Linked DNA regions of Lepisosteus oculatus. The protein of the gene in region 1 binds, or shares a complex with, the protein of each later gene. Links are inferred from orthologs where the notes say so. Each region holds a gene or a part of one and is shown on either strand. Other genes may lie near its edges.

Evidence for each region.
Region 2: the proteins of cop1 (region 1) and trib1 are in contact, whole or in part, in a crystal structure (PDB 5IGQ), measured with the Homo sapiens proteins. The link is inferred for Lepisosteus oculatus from reciprocal best matches to the Homo sapiens genes COP1 and TRIB1. Residues at the interface, in NP_071902.2 of Homo sapiens: Ile423, Ser425, Val441, Lys472, Tyr491, Trp517, Asp534, Ala556, Asn557, Cys559, Ala576, Asp577, His578, Lys600, Ala601, Ser603, Thr618, Lys643, Asn644, Phe645, Phe699; in NP_079471.1 of Homo sapiens: Asp355, Gln356, Ile357, Val358, Pro359, Glu360, Tyr361.

The regions. Positions count from the first base shown.
Region 1 is NC_090704.1:6,367,028-6,376,567, forward strand, and holds the start of cop1 (E3 ubiquitin-protein ligase COP1), read right to left. Parts: upstream 4,377-9,540; 5' UTR 4,147-4,376; intron 4,066-4,146; 5' UTR 4,002-4,065; coding exon 3,610-4,001; intron 2,207-3,609; coding exon 2,147-2,206; intron 1,346-2,146; coding exon 1,248-1,345; intron 774-1,247; coding exon 709-773; intron 1-708. UniProt on the Homo sapiens protein: E3 ubiquitin-protein ligase that mediates ubiquitination and subsequent proteasomal degradation of target proteins.
Region 2 is NC_090705.1:7,685,043-7,694,797, forward strand, and holds the start of trib1 (tribbles homolog 1), read left to right. Parts: upstream 1-5,678; 5' UTR 5,679-6,332; coding exon 6,333-6,644; intron 6,645-7,615; coding exon 7,616-7,908; intron 7,909-9,755. Other genes in the region: nsmce2 (E3 SUMO-protein ligase NSE2), read left to right, coding at 948-1,065. UniProt on the Homo sapiens protein: Adapter protein involved in protein degradation by interacting with COP1 ubiquitin ligase. The COP1-binding motif is masked by autoinhibitory interactions with the protein kinase domain.

The DNA.
Region 1 (9,540 bases):
GAGTGGTAAAGAATTGCCCTAAAAAAGTACCATAAGATCATGGAACACTATAGAGGGCATTAATCCAATCCAGAGGAAGACTTATAAAATACTAACTACAGGAGTATAACCCTTGCTTAACCTCCCGGCAATTTTCAGATGGTTCACTAAGCCTACGACATTTTACCAGGTAACACAGGGCAAACTCCACATGGAGTTCATTGCTGGTTTATTAATAAAAATTGACATTTTAACTAGCATTCGTTTTACTGGGAAAAACAACTTTTTTTTTCTAGGAGATTAAAGAAATGGCAGAACTCCAAACTTTGTGCATGATTTTTGCCACCTCAGTAAATGCTTTCAATGTGATCTTTAAGTAATTTGTCCATAACATATGCTAGAACTCTTCAGTTTTCCCACTTGTGCATTTTGCGTTCCAACAGTCACAAAATACTGCTGGTTACTGCCATTACTGGGTTGATCGTCTCCTTTTTTAAATATTTTTCAGCAACACATTTTAACCCCAAGTGCTGACATGGCATTTTTACTGGCTCCAAAGTTTTACAGCCCAATCATAAACCAAAACATTTGCTGTGTAAAAAAATGTGAAGTCAAAAATCCAGATACAGGAGAGCCAATGATTCCAAATTTGTAAACAATTTAGAAACTTTATCAAAAGCAATTTCTGTATACACAAAATACAAAAAATAGTTGGAACTGAATTCTCACCGGATGGTCCAGTTTAAGACGTTTTTCTTCTGATCTCTGTTTCTGTTTGAGGATAAGTTCATTCACTACTCAGGTGTGGAAACAAGAATGAAAATCAACAGAAAAACAAAAAAATATGAAGCCTTTTAATCTCAACGATATTCACACAGTACACTTCAGTTGGTGTAAAGAAAAACTGTTTTCCTCCAGAGACCAGTTATAAAATAGGATCCTTTTACCAAAATATACTCTACTGCATACTTAAACAGAAATGTTGTAAACTGTAAAAGCTTCGCATTAGAGGAGGACTTTTGATTTTCACTTTATTTAACAAATTCCAGCTCTCTTCTCTGGCAATCTCATCCCACTGATGGACAATTACCTTAATGTTAACTGTATTTATTTGTACATACTTAGCAGAATATTTGGTCTCAAACAAAGAACAAAAATATTTTGTTATCAATAAATGTATTTTACTTCCACAACCAGACGGATGTGGATTGCATCGATGGGGGTTCAATAAATGCATTGTCTTTTCATTTAGACATTACTGGACTTACCTAGAAAATTGGGGAACAGCTGATCCACATTATCAATAATATAATTACACTTTGGGCACCTGTTGCTGTCTTCCAAACTCTGCCGAATACACTTGTAACTAAAAGAAATGCACACCAGTAAAAAAAATGCTGACAAACGGTGCATAAAAAACAGACTTTTTCATCACTGTTCATTTAAAATATAAGATGATTACATATTAAAAAAATACTCTAATTCCTATGTTCCCAAAAACATTTTACTGCACATTTAAGTTCTAAAAACAACAATAAAAGCACAAGCTTAGAGCATATAGCTCTGTGCAATAAAATTAAGATTTAGCATATCCTAAAACCCATTTGTATAAAAATGCACTCTGTGTTAATCACAAAATGATTATAGGGAAATAAAACTTACATTTTTATAAAACTTCCAAAACCCACCAGTACTGACAAAAATGAGACAGACTGAATCCAACAATTACATTTTCCTACAATAAAAAGCACTGTCTACAACTAGAATAGACTGCAGCAATTAAGGAATCTACTAATAGCATACACGTCAAGCAGTTCACTAGTAGTACAGTAGATTATCATTACCAAAAAAGCTACTTTAATAGCGTTTATCAAATAAATCATGAAGTCAGCATAAAACATTCAGATACTGAAGGTGCTTAGTATGGCAAGTCTCAAATGAAGAAACTATGTGACAGAAATTTTAACTTAACTTTTCACATGTGATTTCTGCTGTACTTTGTTAACGTAGCTTTGCACTTTCTCTATTAAGGTAGTTGTGAAACTATGCTGAGTAATGCAGAATAATACATAAAAGAGCTAATTAAAATCCCAACTAATGCTACCTTAAGTGCACCACAAATTTTTTGATACATTTTTCTTCTTTTAATGCTTAAATGATTACTTACCAAAAGCTGTGCCCACATTTTGTCATATGAGCTTCCTCAATCATTTCAAAACAGATTGGGCTGAAAAAAAGGTTCACATTAAAAACAATTCAAATCATATTGCAACAGATTATTTAATTTACACAATTCACTAAAGCTAGTACAGTCTATATTTTTAAAGATCACCACACTTTGCACAAATGAGACTTCACGATCATTAAAAACGAACACGGATATATTGCTATAATTAAATAGAATATGTATGGGCCTTTAGAAAACAGTACCAAGCACTATATAGCACATTTCCTTAAGATACAAAATTAGAAAAAACAAAACAAAAACGAGAGTTAATCATTTATTGTACAATACAGTATAGAGCGGATTTATGGTGGTAAGGAGGTGTGCAATTGGAAGACACAATAATGTTTTATTGCTGAAGGACCATGAAAATGGCATATAACAACTGAATTATCTTAAGCTCTCAACAATAGTCAGAAAAGAAATTTGTTCCTAAATAAAAAAAAATCATGGACAAAAAAATAACATGCTAATAATTATGTAGGCATCACATAAAAGTAGGACATAATGTCAAGACTTTGCAAAGCCAAAAAGAACAAACATTAAGCAATCAGCCAGTCCTGAAAGATTGCGACAGGTTTAACACATCACGTTTGACAGTGATCAGCAACGTACGGGCACTGTCTTAATCCTGGGGTGCAAGAGGTACTGTACTTTGTAAGAACAAAAGAAAACTTTTTTTTGCCGAAAAGGCAAAGAGGAGGAAAAACCTTCCATTTTCACTGTGGCATCCCGAACGTTTGTTGACATCTGACAACCAAAAACCAACTACTGTGTTGTGTAAAGCAGGAAATTAGTTTGGCTTGCTTAGTACTAAACTGCCATTTTCAGGAGAGAGAAAAAAAAACGTGACCAATTCAGACCAGACAAATGTTTGACCTACAACATCCATTCATTCGAATAAAGACAAACGTGTACCAGTAAACGCAGTAACTCAGCTGCAGGCAGGAATACACATTATTGTATAGCCCACAAATCCAGAATGTAAAGCTGTCGCCAAAAAAATGCATCTAAATGGGGCTGAATCTATTTTTTTAATTTTGACCATTATGCTGTCGTCTGTAATTTCAAATCCTCGTCGAACTCGAAAATGTCCTACTCAAAAACATAATAACTACAAATGTCTGATGGGAGATGATTGATTTTACGAGCTGATGTTGGGTCCCGTTTCGCACAATGTTTCAATAGTGCAGATGAGAGTAATTACGTGTTGTACTATTTATAAAATGGGGAATATATATATATAAACATTCAGGGGGCAAAAAACACAATACCAAAAACCAGCACCGGTATCTTAATTTCTTCACTTTCAGAACAATCCAAAAAAATGCCTCAGTCGGCATGATTCATGTCGGCCTTATGGAATTTAAATGCCCCCCCTCAAAACAACAACAAAAATAACTCACCACACAAAGTCGTTGCTCTTGTCTTCGTACGAGTTTATGAGGCCATTGCAAAGGGGTGTTGGAAGAGGACGTTTTCTGCTGCTTCCAGAGGACGAGCCGGGTCTGGCCAGAGAAGCTGGAGTAACTCGGGAAGTAGGGATCCCCAAAGCGGCCACAGGTAACCCCTCGGCTCCACTTCCCAGTGTCCGTGAAGAGACAACATTTGCAGAATTGGTCCCATTACTAGTGTTACCACTCCCGCTGCTTGTGTTTCTGGCATTATTGCTGCTACTGGTGCTGCTGCTGTTGCTGTTGCTGTTGCTGGTGGTGGTGGTGCTGCTGCTGCTACTGCTACTCGTCCCAGGCCTTGAGCCCGCCGCTCCTCCAACCTGCGGCTTTCGGGGGGTTGACATAACTCGAGGCCGCTGCTCCAACTCCGCTCTGGCAGGCCGCAGGCTCCTGCTCACTGCATCCGGGCTGCAAGGTTTAAAGACTTAGAAACTCAGGAGAAAGACACAACCCCCCCCCCCCCCCCAAAAAAAAAAAAAAAAACCTCACCAGCAGTCACTCCGATCGGGTTATTTCAGGGAATGCGATCAGGCTGTTGAAACTGTCGAAAGCTATCACTTTCCTGAAAGACACGGAAAGGAGCTAAACAGCAAATCCTGCGAACAAAGCTCCGCTGCCAAACCGAGACTTGGAAACTACAAGCGATCTCCCCGGTTACAGAGCAGTGCGGGACCGCACAGCTGCCACCTTTGCGCCGCTGCGTCAACACGCAGGACTTCCCACGTACAGGTACAAAAAAAATAGCGGGACTTCGTAAGTCACGTAAAACATCCATTTGGTTTAAATTACATTTGAAGAGGATAGGTGTTTTTTTTTTTATATACAACCTATTCACACAAAGTAGGGATATACGGTATAATTACTTGAGCTGTAGGCCTATAGTGTGCAGTACTTATATATACACAACACCCATTCATTTCGAGGGAAGAATTTATTATCACGACGACAGGCTGGTAACGCTTTTCTTGTTTTGTAACTAGTCTTAATAAAAAAAAATATACCCATGGATTATGTATGTCAACTTAATTTTAATGCAAAAAAGTTACATTGCAAATGTTGAAATGCCACGACAGTTTTATTGCAGCTCTATTTGATAACGGAAAAAGCGGTTATTTTGATTTTTTTTCCAACCAGAAAGGTTACAACAAAAGAGGTTATTCGAAAAATAACAACAAACCACATATATGTGATGGTAATGACTCATTTCGACACATGTGCAGATTAGTTGGTCACAACTTTCTGAAATAATCATAAATAATATTGAAAAATAACCCTTCATTGCATGTTTCTAATAATACCGGGAATATCCACATGAGGGCGATATGTACTCAAAAATACAGTGCAATTAAAACACGTATACTTCAAAATAATTGTACAAAGAGCTATAAAATACATTGTGTCATACAATTATTGATTTTTATACTACAGCTGTGCTACCGATGGCTTAATGATGATTTTCGAAAGTATTTTGGGAACATTTGCAGATGATGCTTATATTAAGATGTAATGGATTAAGATGCTTTCTTTCTTCTTATCACAGTAGGTGTGCGTACTTGTCCTTTCTGAATAAGTAAATATTTATAAAGACATGTAAATGAAATTTGAGCCATGAAAGAAAAATACAATGTAATCAAATGAACATGTCAAAAATTGTACCTATGTTGTATAAAAACATTATATTTTTGGTTTTATTAGCTGTTTTCTCCTGTATGAACTGTATTCCCGCATTAAATTTTCTCAGTTTTAACACAAGGTGGCGAGCTTGTTTCTTTTTGTGTTTTATTACTTTATATTCATGTATAGAGGAAAACTACACAAACAGCAACACGTTCAGTTGCAGGACAAGCTACAGTACGTAGCAGCAAAGTACAGTTTATTTGTTCTGTCAGCAATAGGTCTCCTCTGTCCACAAAATGAAGAGTGAGCATTTTCTTGCATTTTTCATTACAATATAGCAGGTGAAACAGCTTGTATGGTCCAGCTTTAAGATTCTGCAGCACTTTTATTTTATTTTTTTGTAGTGTCTTTTTGCTTTGGCTAAGTCTCTCCAGAAGCTGAAACTGTCCTCTATCATAATTACTCATATACGTTTTTTTGTTGTGTCTATGGTAATACTTTCTAATTCTCCCAAAAGGTCTTTTTGAATGCAACATCACAAAATATTGTTTTTCTCCCCATACATTAAGATGCTAAACTTAAATAATTTATATTTTGTTTGTTTTTTTGTATCTCCTCTAAATTAAGTAGCTGAGGTATTTTTTTCTTAACAGTTGTTGTTTTTAGGTAGTGGAATTTGGGCACATTGTGATGGTGGGAGATCAGGTCTGCTCTAAAACCCCTTTGAGTTTTCAGAGAGGTCTCTCTAACAAAACAAAGGTGGGCTGGGAGGAGTGCCGAAGGTTCTGTGTGGGGAGTGTCTAAACAGACCATTTATAAATACCCAAATTGTGGAAATGAAGCCATGTTGTGCTATGGGTAAGAATTTCTAACAAGGCAGGCAAGGTTAATTCTAGAAAACAGCTTTTAATAGGAGAAATAAATTCTAGTCCCCAATGTTTGCATTTCTATCATTGTTTAAATAAGAATGCGTATCCTTTAGCTCTCATCTCAGCTCTGAGTTAATATTTTAAAGCAGTTATTTTGAAAGGTAGGCAACTTTGACACAGTAAGTGCCTCTTTGGCAGCACATAAGAAAAAGTGGACCACCAGTGGTTTATTTTCTGATCTCTCAAGGGGCCAGTACCTCAAACCCATATCATGATAAAAATTCTTGCTGGCAAGTGCAAAATTAATGGAAGTGTTCCAAGCTGAGCCATAAAAGCCCTCCTGAATCTGCCACAGGGTCCTGTTTTGTCAGATATGACTGAATCTCCCACATCTTATTAATTTGCCCTCTCCTCCAAGGCACTTCTTCAAAAAGTCTTTTCCTTTCCTCATTTTCATTGAAATCTGACCCAAAAGAGTAATATACAGAGCTTTAAAAAAGGTAGTCCATCTGTGCTTCTCTGAATTGTGTCTTTTACGAGGTCAGAATTTTATTGGTAAGGAATAATACAGTTATGCAATGAAATCAGTACTGGAGCAGGTGTCTGGGAAGACTATCTGAAGCAATGTTGTGATGATTTTACAGTTTCCTCGTGTTGTATTTATTAAAATCATTATTACCTTACAAGAACATTTTCACTCAGCTGAAATTGAAACTGCTTTTCTCCAGTCTGGAATCAAATACATACATTGAAAAATAATGTAAACTGAGCATTTCTTTTCAGTAGAACAAACAGCTCATGGTACTGTACTTGGTATTCAGTTAAAGCCATACAGCCATACCTGTTCTATAATTAAAGTGTTTCAATGCATAGATATTCAGCCCACTTAAGTTCATATATAATTTACAGTACAGGAAAATGTCAGCATGGGACTTTTGTGTAATATCACCCATATTAAAAAAAAATCCTAATTTCTTAGTAAGAATGAACTCACTTGTATGAAAAAAAAATACATTAGTAAGCAAATATTTTTTCAGTCATAGTTGTACTCTCCACTGGGTGTTGATCACAATTTTATTTCCTTAATATACAAATGACTATTTGTCATCTTCTTCACAGGCAATTTCCATTAAAAGCAACTTTTTTTTTCAACTCCATTTGATTCAGTTAAATTATATTATTTTGAGAGAGTTATGTCTTCTCATTAGCAAGAGTGTCTTGGCTCGCATGCTGCATACATTTTGACAAGTTATCATGCCAAAAACACAAATTCATAAACATCATATTTAGAAAATCTTTCATTCTGAGAAACGCATAGAATAATATCCTGCAAGGTCTCTTAGTTTAAGAAAAACCTAGTTCATATACTGGGGGGCAGAGCAGTTGCCACTTCAAATCTCGGGGCCGGCAGAGGAATCCTACTCCGTTGGGCCCCTGAGCAAGGCCCTTAACCCCAATTGCTCCTTGGGCGCTGTACAATGGCTGACCCTGCACTCTGACCCCGAGCTTCTCTCCCTGTCTGTGTCTGTGTCTCATGGAAAGCAAGCTGGGGTATGCGAGAAGACAAATTCTTAATGCAAGAAATTGTATATGGCTAATAAAGTGATCTTACACTGTTTTAATATCTCATTGTGGCCAGGATCTCTCACAAGCAGTAAACAGATACATGAGATCTTCTGTGATTTTACATAAGGCAGTATCAACTTGAGGATTCTCAGCTCCCTATGAACTGGCTATCCTTGCCACTGACCTGGGTTTAGACGAAGATAACAGTCCATGCTGTGAAGGTCCACCTTATGACAAGCAATGCTAAACTGGTCATGCTCTGGGGTTACAGTATGACAAAAAGCAGATGGCTCTGTTGACACTCGTTCTCAGAGAATGGGTTTTCTGCTGACTGCTGGGATGTGGACAAAAACAAAATATTGGGACCTCGGTGCAGTTTTCTTTTCCTCTGTGATCTAGAATGGAGTTTTGATGATGAACCATACAGTACATTTTAAGGTGGAAATCCTCATGACCTCATTATACACTACTGTATTACTATTGCCATCTAGGTGACTAAGTAACCCATCAGCCCATGAAAGGTGTATCTTAATTTCATGAACCTCTTTTTACAGCTACAGAACTTTGTTGCAGTTTTTTGCTATGTGCAGTAGCCACGATTCAGTAACCCGCCAGTTATCCTGGAATGTCGCCCACAATTGTGTGAATCCCAAAAAATAGGAATTGTTTAAGTTTTGATATGATAAACCCTAAACATAGTGGGTCATTTTCTGTTCTCTTAAGGTTTCTTGCTGATAATGAGACCCATCGCTGCCTTGTTCAATTAATTACTGCAGATTAATTCGATTTTAAGGGAGCTCTAGGGATACAAAATTAAATACCTTCTTCTCCCCACCCTCACTCCCCAACAAACAGAAAGTCTCCAACTTTCCTTGCACTCATACGTAACCCCTATATCTACTGTAAAAGTTGCCCGAACACAAGAGATGCAACCATTGATATCCAGCTCCCCCTTTCTCAGTATGCTCTTAGTACATCCATTAATTATAAATGAGAACATCATCTTTGCCATCTGAATCATTTATATCTCTCACAGTTAACAGAGGGAGAGTCCCCCTGGCAAAGACACTGAGGAAAAGAAACACAAAGTAAAAACAACCACTGTACAAATGGTTAGCCGGGTATGTTTACTGAAAGGAGCTCCATAAATTAAAGCTGATCATAGCCAAAGTATTTGAATTTTTTAGTTTCAGTATCCTTGATGACTTATCAATAGAAGACAAATGATAAATAAGGGACAATCAAAAATGTTCTGCTTTCAAAATGGCTTGTGGTAGGATCAGTGGCAGTAATGATCTCTTGTTTTGCCTTAGTCTAACCTTTTCTAGCTACCCTTTTTTCATACCAGCATTTCCTTCAAAAGAGATGCTATCAGTGCCCTCTAGAATTCATCAACTGTGCCTTATCATTTGTAATGGTCTAATTTGATCTCTAGGTGATCCTCATTTGAAACATGGATTGTATTTTATGCCTTTGTAAGCCATTGTCCATGAATACCCTACAAACAGGAGCAATCACAAAGACTCTCTTTTCTCTTAGCTCATTACATAAGGTTCTTGCATTCAGACTGAAAGTTACTAGTGTTTTTTATGCTAGGTTATTTTCCCATTTCCTCTTTAAATTACCTTTTGAAAGGCAAGGGGTGCCTTGTTAAATTTGATTGCTGGACTTGAGAGCTCAGACAGTTTCAAGCTGTGTTATGGGACACTGGTGCATTAAAAGTAAATTAATATTTTACCCTCCATTGTATTCAACTTCTTTTAACAATTGGTCTTCTGATTTCAGATAAGATAGAGTTTGTGAAACATATGGCAAATTGTTGAAGAGCCCT
Region 2 (9,755 bases), on another chromosome or scaffold:
CTGTTTTTTTTTTTAAGCCCGGGTCCTGAAAATGGGTCAGTTTTGAAATGGGATGATAATTCTCCAGGTTGATACCCTTTAAAATGGCCAGGTTTGGAATTAAACATTGACAACAGCGTCTAGCCACTGGTGAAAAGTGTCAGGTTTATATTTGACACTCATGCAAATAAATGTGAATTTAAGAAAAATATCATCTAGGAGAGGGATCTTTTAAGAAGCAACAGAGATTTTCTAAACAATACAAGCAATTGAAGTAGCAAAGAACCAAGTGGCTTCTTGTTCATAAACCTTCTTGTGCTTTCATAAAACGAAACAGCTCTGTACCTGAATGGCTTGTACCAAAAGAGGTGGTATTTCAAAGTGTGCATCACAGATCATACTGTATGCTAATGTTAGATATTCAGGTCACAGCCTTCAGTAAAGCATTATATAGTTAAAAAAAATATACTGTATGTCGTTTTTCTTACTTTCAAAATTCATCTATGCTGCTTGCAAAAAACAGAAATAAAACCTTTGAAAATGATTTTCACAGCTGCTAATTGTGTAGTCATAGGTTGGGGAGCAATTTGTTTCAAAGTGTTAACTGTAAAATAATTATACCTGTATCTGCTCTTTTACTTTCTCTATTACTTTACTTCAATTGCAACTAGAGAGATGCACTTTCCAGGAGGTCAGGGTTGGAGAGAGGTTTCATTCAAAACTCATACTCATTACATTTGCAAATGTTAATGGATTGCAACTGTTATTGGTTTGAAAAGATAAAGAACCTATTTTGAATTGCTGAGGTGGGTTAAGTTTTGCATAGCCAGACAGCTTAGGATGAATATAAAGACTTCAGAAGAAAAAAACAGCATATTACTAGGGTCTTTTGTGCATAGGGAAAAAAAAGTGTTGAAAGTAAATAAGGCTAATTTCATAATCTGCTAATTCTCTTGCTTTCCCTTCAGGTGCCCTGTTGTTGGATGTGGTAACACTGATGTAACAAAGTCAGACCTGGTGCCAGATCCTACAATGAAGAGGCTCATTCAGAGCCAGAAGAAGCTCAGCACAAAGTCACAAATGTGAGGCAGGAACCTGCACAAACGAGTGTGCAGAAGGCTTTGTTTGAAACAGGAGCAAGCTACTGGAACCAGTGCCCTTTCACCAATAGTCTCGGACAGTTTGAAACAGAGGGAAAGAGCTGTCAGTTCAGTCACATAATGGAACTCTTAGAGGAGGCAAGCAGTATTGGATGGACACGAAAAATGTCTGCTTTAAGCATTTTATGCTTGGTGTAATTCGTGTAATTTGAGGCCTGGCAGTCATGTAAAAATCACATCGGGAAAAGACAGTGGTACCCCATCCTGTTACTTACATTATCATCATCATTTGGTTGCCGAAATTTATTTTTTTGCAGCGTCCCAGCTGTCTGAGTGAATTTATAAAAGATGGAATTCCAAGACTTAAAACAAATTTGTATAGACTCTGTTTTTAGCACTCTGCAGTGCTTTTTGACATGAGTTAATAAGCAGTTCAAAAGTTTCATGTATTAAAAATGGACACTTTCTTCAACGACACCCCACTGAGCCTTCTTAGTCATTAGCTGTGATTGTACAGAGATCTGTGTTAGTGTCAGCCTTGTGTTGCATATTCTATCAAAGATCACTCTTCACCATCTGATTAATGCAGACCAATCCCTTTCCGGTCAGACTAATAGAATTGTCCTGTTTCAAAGAAATTCCTTTATAAAAATGCAGGTTACTAAGTTTGCACTTAATAGTTATGAGTAATGTGTGAAGGTAATGTTGAGCCTACGGTAAACTTCATTACTTGTTTCCATTTAATTTACCCATGCATTTCATTGTTTAAAAAGAGAAATAAGAAAACAGTTGACTTTTAACATCCCCAATACTATTTGCAGATATTTCCTCTGTTTAAATCTCCCTTGGCTGATAATTAAAAAAACAGGGAAGAGCTGAGTTTCAGAGGACCCGTTGACATTAGATGTGAGATTTTTTCTTTCAAAACAGAAAACAATTGTTTCCTTATTTTTAAGTTTCTTACCACATCACGCCATATGTCATTTGCATTAATGAATGATTCAGAACATGAAAATGTGTTTTTTTTAACTGATTAAAGTAAGTTAACAAAAAGTCACTGATTATTTCTGGCCCCTGGCCATGCAGCTTTTTAAACAAAAGATGACAGACTGAAAGTAACAGCTTTGAAAATGAAAGTAGCACTGCCTTCTTATCTAAAGGAAAGACAGACCTGTTTCACAGTGGTTCTGCTGCATGACAGAGATGTGCTTCAGTTTGTGAGTCAACAGTGAAAAAAGGACAAAAATGCACGATGTCTAAAATTAGATGTATAATCTGTTGTGTACTGTGCCTTGTACTCCATTCAATACTGATTGATTCCATAACCAGCTGTCAGCTTAGTACTGTGGATTTTGTGTGTGCTCAGAAATTAGCAATAGTGACACAAAAAATATTTTTTATTAATTTTGCATTTGTTTTTTATTGTTTCAGTTCTGTTTCTGTTTGATTTGATATGTTCGCAAATGCACGTTCACCTGTTCAGAATGTTTTAGATTTTTCTGACCCATTAAAAAAATAATAATAATAATAATGTAGTCCCCACCAGTGATTTTATTCATTGGATACATTCAGTTTTCCATTGAATGCCTTCTTTTATGGTTAATGTGACGGTCTAAACTGGGGAAGGGCTGTTACCCAGTTGTGTTCAGAGGGTGCAGACTACCCCGCTACACTGGTGAAAGCAGTGGCCAATTTACTAGAAATAACAACACCCAAGAATGAACCGTTCTGAAAGGATTACGGAATGTTTCAGTCGAAATCTGGCTTAACCCGCTTGGCTGAGGGCAGACCTCCTGGCCAGGAGAGGAGGAGAAGGAGGAGGAGGCTGGGACCCCCTGCAGAGTGAGGAGTGACCTGGGGGCAGCTGCAGAGGGGGAGACACACATGACACTCCCCACACGATCTTGGGCAAAAGGCCGAGAGGGCTGTAGAAGTGGAGATGGGATTGAAAAAGACGTGTGGGAGGGAGAGAAGGGGGATCACCTACAGTATTTGCAGTGTTTTTGGAGAGGAAATGACGACAGCTGTGAGTGCAAATTAATGACAGCTGAGTCTGATTAAACCGGGCTGTTGTCATCCCTTCCGAAAAGAATGGGTGCAGACATTGTTTTTGTTGCTAAAGTCGTACTGTATATAGCCATTACTGCACTACCAGGTCTGGAGATTCCTGGCTACAGTTGTTTGATGAGATGGCCTTTGATCCAAATGAGCTCCAGTACAGGATGAGCAATAGCAGAACTCCTCCGAGGTCCAGAACGTACGAAAGGTTATGAATGGAAGGGGGCCGGTCAGCTCTGCCAGCCCATCTGGTACTTGGTAGTTAATGGATCCAGAGATCTCATCCAGCTGTTTCTTGAAGGGAGCAAAGAAGTATCGCCTACAGCCACATGGCTGTGTAGCTTATTCTGCACTCCCACAACCCTCAGGGCAAAGATGTGCCTCCTGTTTTTCAGATATTAAGTGAACTTCCACACCGTTTCCATTTGTGTCCTCGAGGATTTTGAATACTTGTAGTCTTCTCCTCTTCTCTGTTCAAGACTAAAAAGGTCCAGTTCCTTCAGTCTGTCAGGGTCCCACCAGTGCGAGTCCCGGGAGTCATCTGGCTGCTCTTCCCAGGACTGATTTCAGAACAGCAAGCTGGAATTATGGAAATACGGAATTAATCATTACATTGTTCTGCTTTGAACTTCCATTTGAAATGCAAATGCCTGCCCGCATTTCAGACCTCATTCTCTCACACTGGTGCAGGCACATCTTTACTGGAAGGGTGTTGTGAACAGTGGAGCATTCATACTGTATCTTGCACAGCAGGGCAGAAGTAAGGCTACAGAGTGCTGTATTCACAGGCACGAAATTAGTGCTATGTTTTGTTTCTCTAGTTTCTGTGGTTCATCACGTCAGGCAGGGTCCATGGTTCTCCCACTAATGTAATGAATTGGCATTTCTGAAGTAAGTTACAGTGAGCAGCAGACCTGCTGGTACTGTGTGTTCTTAGATCACAATAGATGACTTGCTGTTCATCGTAGCTCAAGATGACGGTGGAAATACTGTATTAAAATGGGTTGTTTTGAGGCATGTTTTGTAGAAGCAGGGGTTACTTTCCTGCGGCTGTATGCCGGTAAATTGTTATTTTGCCATTTTTTATTCTTATTTTTTAAGAGATATGGGATAACATTTTTTGTCATACCTAGCCCTCTAAAGGAGCAAGATTCTTTTGTGTGATGTGTTGTTTACATATACAGTACTATCACACAATGCAGTCAGACAATTGGAGTAAGGTACACTGTGGTGCAACCTGATTGTGATAGTCCAGACGGTTGTGTAAAAGGAGGCTTATCATTTAAAGAAGTACATCTTTGTTAAAATAAAACTATATGAAAGCCTTGCTGGACTTTGGCAACAGATTTACTCACAAGTGACAATATGAGCTGTTGCAGAATGAATGCTTTAGAAATTGTGAAAGATTTGCCACACACTGGTGGTGTGAGAGATGAAATACTTGGAAAACTGAAATCAAAAGGGTCCATTTATCAGGTCTAGTTTGTTTTGAAATCACCTAAGGGGAATGTTAAGGCGATTTCTACACCTCAGAGTGTCTAATCGTGAATATTATCACACTGTTGAGAAAACATGATTACTGCATATTTTATTGCATTTCAAATTGACCACGTTACCCCCATTTCCCAGTATCTTATCATTGTACATTTCGTTGGCACAGAGTTCAGAATTTTTTCCATTTAATTTCCTCATCATGTCATGAAGACGTTCCTGTTCGCGGTATTTATGAGTAGTAAATAACTATGACTTCTCCCAAAACATCGCTGTCTGTTTGAATTCTGACTGCAATTGGTGGCCAACAAGATAAACTGTCAGAAAAGGCTTAATTCCAATATGGCAGAATTAAGTAGGGCGTTCCGAGACTTGGCAAAAAATTCATCCGTTTGGTCAGTTAACGCTATCCTTTTCATGACAGGTAATTAACGAGCTAAATCTGGACCTTATTCCTGTTAATAAGTAGCTGCGAAAGAATGTAATTTAGTACCGTGGTGTGTATTTATACCGTGCAGTGCTGTGCATTCCGGATATTTATGATGATCGAAAATCATGAATTGGGAAATATTTTTGAAAGTGGACTCGCTATTTATAAATGAACTGCGCGTTCGTAGTTCAGATTTTGTTAACCGCGCACCTTCCTGCGTGCCTGTCTGCATGTTGGAAGTTTTAGCCCAGAATGCACGACTGCCTTTTTGAGAGAAAAAAGGACCGATCGTTTGGATGCCGCATTTTTTTTATACCACTGTGCCCGTCACTATCCAGCTGCAAATTCCTGGGCTCAAATGAAGCTTTAAAGTGGATTACTGTTGTTGGAAGGAACACAATTACGATCGCGACGCGAATGAATATCGTTTAAAGGAACCGCGCCACCATTATCTTTGATCAGCGTGATAATGTAAAGAGAGTGTGCTAATTATTCGAAAACAATGTAACACTTAATTGGACACACCTGCTGTTCATCCAGTACTCTACTGGCTTTCCCGCAACGTCACATAAATTACACTTTTATTGTGTTATTATTGTTTAATCTTCTGCTCTTGCTTTACAAATGTGTGGCTTTAGGCATGAACAGCAATAACCGGCTGCCCGAGTTTCACCTGCAATTTGTGATTACGCACGCAGCCCATTGCGATGCTTTGTGATGTGTGGTTGTGTGATTGCACAACCGCCGAGGAGGGTTTCTCCTGAAACCGTGTCATAGAAGGGGCCGGTGCGGGCGGAGTTCCAGTTGCACTGCTAAAGAGAAAGGGTTTAGAAATAGCATCTTAGTTTGGGCACCTACTGAATCAGCGAGGTCATTCTCGCATCGAGAAACCCACGGCGCACGCTTTCTGTCGAGCGTTTCTATTTGACTTGAGTGGAACAACTTTTTTTTTCTTCTGTGCTTTGTGAGGTCCGCCTCACATATCAACAGTTAAATCGGGAGGCAGCGCCTGCCTATACATTGAAGTCAACTTGGAGAAAGAAAACAAAAGGACATTGTTCATTCGGAGTTGTACAGAGGTTGTTCTTTTAAAATCCTTACATCGTTGTATTATCTGTGAAGAATCGCAGGATTTACTTAAACTAAAATACTGGGATTATCCTAACCCTGTAATTGTATACAGCACTGGGCATCCGCGGAATCCCAAGGAAGACTAAGTCAATGTGGGGGCTCTTGGAAATTCTTTAATATCCGAGTTAAAAGTGTTTGTCTGAATGCTGGCCCACATGAGTTGGAACGCGCAGCGAACCAGTCCGATCCCATTTTTTCGCAATGGGAGGTGCAGATCCAAGAGAGTAGACGCCGAAGAGCCGGTGTCTAAGATCCCGAGGCTGAGCGACTCCGCGAACGACACCGGTTACCTCAGCACTTCCCCGGCGTCCCCGGTCAGCGCAGCCTCGCCCGGCACCCCTGCAAGCCACCAGGGTCTCTCTCGGATCTGCCAGTTCCTGCTGCTGCCCGTTTCCGACAGGGAGGGGGTGCACAGCGCACTCCACATAAACACGGGAGAGGAGTTTGTGTGCAAGGTATGGAAACGGCAGAATGAGGGATTTTAATGATAACAATCGCCCCCTCCCTCCTCCCCCCCGGTTTGGAAGTTATGCATGAGATACGAAAAGCAAAAAAAACAACACGGGCTTCTTGCCAAATACGCGCATGACGATCCCGCGTGACATCCGTAAATTTTTATTAATTGCACAATAAATTTCGCAATTTTAATGCTTTTACACGGGGCATTTTCATATTTTTGCAGACTGATGGTATTCTGCTTCCATAGATCAAATGATCAAATCTTATTTTGGTAAATGGATAAGGTCTGGCGAAGTCTGTATCTGATCTGCCTCTAATGTAAGCGCACACACAAAAAAAACCACTTTGAAGCTCATTAACGCACCAGTCGCCATAAAATTATACGAGGAAGGTGATCGTGTTCGCTGCGTTAAGAAATGTTGTTCATTTGTGTACAACCATGGCAGCGCTGTGCAGCACTACTGTCGCTTTTCAACCTGTGTCCTTAAATCCCTTTCTGTATTAAAAAAAAAAGAAACCCAAGCCCTCATGCCAGGTCACCCGATTACACGCCGTTTTTCTATCTGCTCACCTTGTCGTCCGCGTATGTCGGCTGGAGAAATGACTGCTAGTACTGGCCTCCAGTTTAAACCCGGCATCTTTCTATTCCAAAAAAAAACGATCTGGTATTCAACTATTTTGCTTCCGAATAGCTCTTTAATTGTATTTGTCAATGGATTTGGCAGTGTAAGCAAACGATCATGTTGGTTTTTCGTCTACGTTAAGTGGAGTTCCTGCTGATTTGAGAAAACTGAGGTAAGTGTAGTTAAATGCGATGAACTTCTTCGTGTTTGCGGGTGCGTTTTATTTATATATATATATTCCCTGTGAGATAACCTGATATATTCACCGTACCAGCCTTGACATTGCATTGTAAAAGATACTATACAGACAGTAACATTGGTTTTTTTTCCCCATCAATTATTAGGTGTTTAGCTTGAAACACTACCAGGAAAAGATAAGACCGCACACCATCGTACCAGCGCACAAGAACATTTCCCAGATTAAGGACATTGTTTTGGGGGACCAGAAGGCCTACGTGTTCTTCGAGAAGGACTTTGGGGACATGCATACGTTCGTGAAAGGCTGTAAGAAGCTGAACGAAACGCAGGCCTCCGGGCTGTTCCGCCAGATAGTTTCAGCTGTCTCTCACTGCCACCAGTCTGGGGTCGTGCTGGGGGACCTAAAACTCAGGAAATTTGTCTTCGCGGATGAGAAGAGGTGAGGATGATTTACATTAGTAGCATTTAAACACGAACTGCAGGGCCGTTCAAAAGGCACTAATGTGACTTGGTACCATTGTGTGGAACTCTTTATTTTTGTATCGCCTCATACATTTATCAGAATACTACATTTGTGTGCGGTAAATTGTTTTATAACATGAAGTCCACTGCTTTCAGCTTACTATAGATGGGGAAAGACAATACTGCCGTTCCACGAGGAACTGCCAGAGCTTTTCTCATTTCAAATGATTATTTTTCTATTATATTACTAGCCATTTTATTGTGAGCAGTTTGTTACCTCTAGGGCATCAAACGTCTGATGAGTGTTGGTATGGATCTAAGAGAAACAGACTGCAGAAAACACAGTATACCTCTTTGTAAAATGTAATATATTTGGAGGCCTTTGAAGATAATTGAAGATATATTGGGAATGATTCATTTTTAAGGGAGGGGGGGCGTCTTTAAGGATCACATTAATCTGGGGACAGAAAATGTCTTGTATAAATTGGACACTCATTCTGTTAAGAGGTGAGATTAAGCTGTGGTCTAATGTCATTTTTGTGCATAAAAAGGTGGGAGTACGATATAAACCCCAGTGCCTTGTCTTGTCTTAGCTTCTGCAGACAAACTGAGGACTTCTGGACACTCTGTACATACATAAAAGACTGGGCATACTTGATAAAACCGAAAGTGGTTTCAGTACGCACATATGTTTTTTTATTTCCTTAATGTGAAGGGAGGAACACCACATTTGCCTGCTTGATGCAGCATTTACAGTTTTTACAGCATTGATTCAAGCACCATGCTTACGTCAGAAACGTATTTAAATTGAAAATACCCGCAACCAAAATAAATTAAGGAACTTTTGCAACTGCAACATACAATACTATAATAGGCTTAAGCAGTTGCTGAAACCCAATATTGCAGGCTGCCTTGCTAATTTTGAAATCTGTGTTGCAGCAAAGGCTAATAACGTCATGTGTCACCAATGTGGCAACAGCAGTTTTAGGCAATTAAGCAGAGGCAGGCAAAGGCACAGGTGCTGGCCATTAGAATAGGGGGCAAAGAAGAGATGAACCGCATTGCTAGCTGAGTCATAGTTTCCACATGCTATACCCTGGAATGCTGTAGAAATGTATTCACACTGTGCACCTATTCACTGTCAGGCCAAGATGAAGCAGAACCTGCTACATATTATTGTGGAATAATGCGTTGCTGATGTGGGTGACCTGTGCGAGCTGACTCCATGTCATCTGCCCTTAGAAGGAGAGATTTGTGGGTGTTTTGTCACACAGGTTTTCCTCCTTGATCCCCATATTAGGAAACAAACAAAAGGCTTCTTTTATCGTCTTGGAAATGTTGCTAAACTTAGACAAACTCACTTGGCTGATGTGGAGTGATTAGTGCATGCCTTTGTTTCATCAAAGACTAATTGCATAATGCCGTAGTCTCTGGTATGTCCCTGCCTCGAGCCCATACTGATCACTGTTAACTTCCTACATTTTCTCATTTTACTTTGGTTTGATACCCCCCCCTGTGTGCTTTAATGAGAGGCTTGAAGGTTTTTTAAATCAATTTTAAAGTTTGCCACCCAGTAAAGGCAATCCATATTACGTTCTCTTAGGTGAATTAAAATACATTTTATATCAGCACATTTTTATTGATCAAGTGCACAAGGTGTGCAAGGGATGGCGGTCAGCTTAGTTTTAATTTTTGCATTTGCTTCTTATTTCAAAGGGATATCTGCATTCTTCAGCATTTTTACTAGTAACTGCAGAATTGTAGTTATTTATTTACCACAGTTAACTAGCACATTCCCTAGTAACAGAACAGTTTTCTGATCGC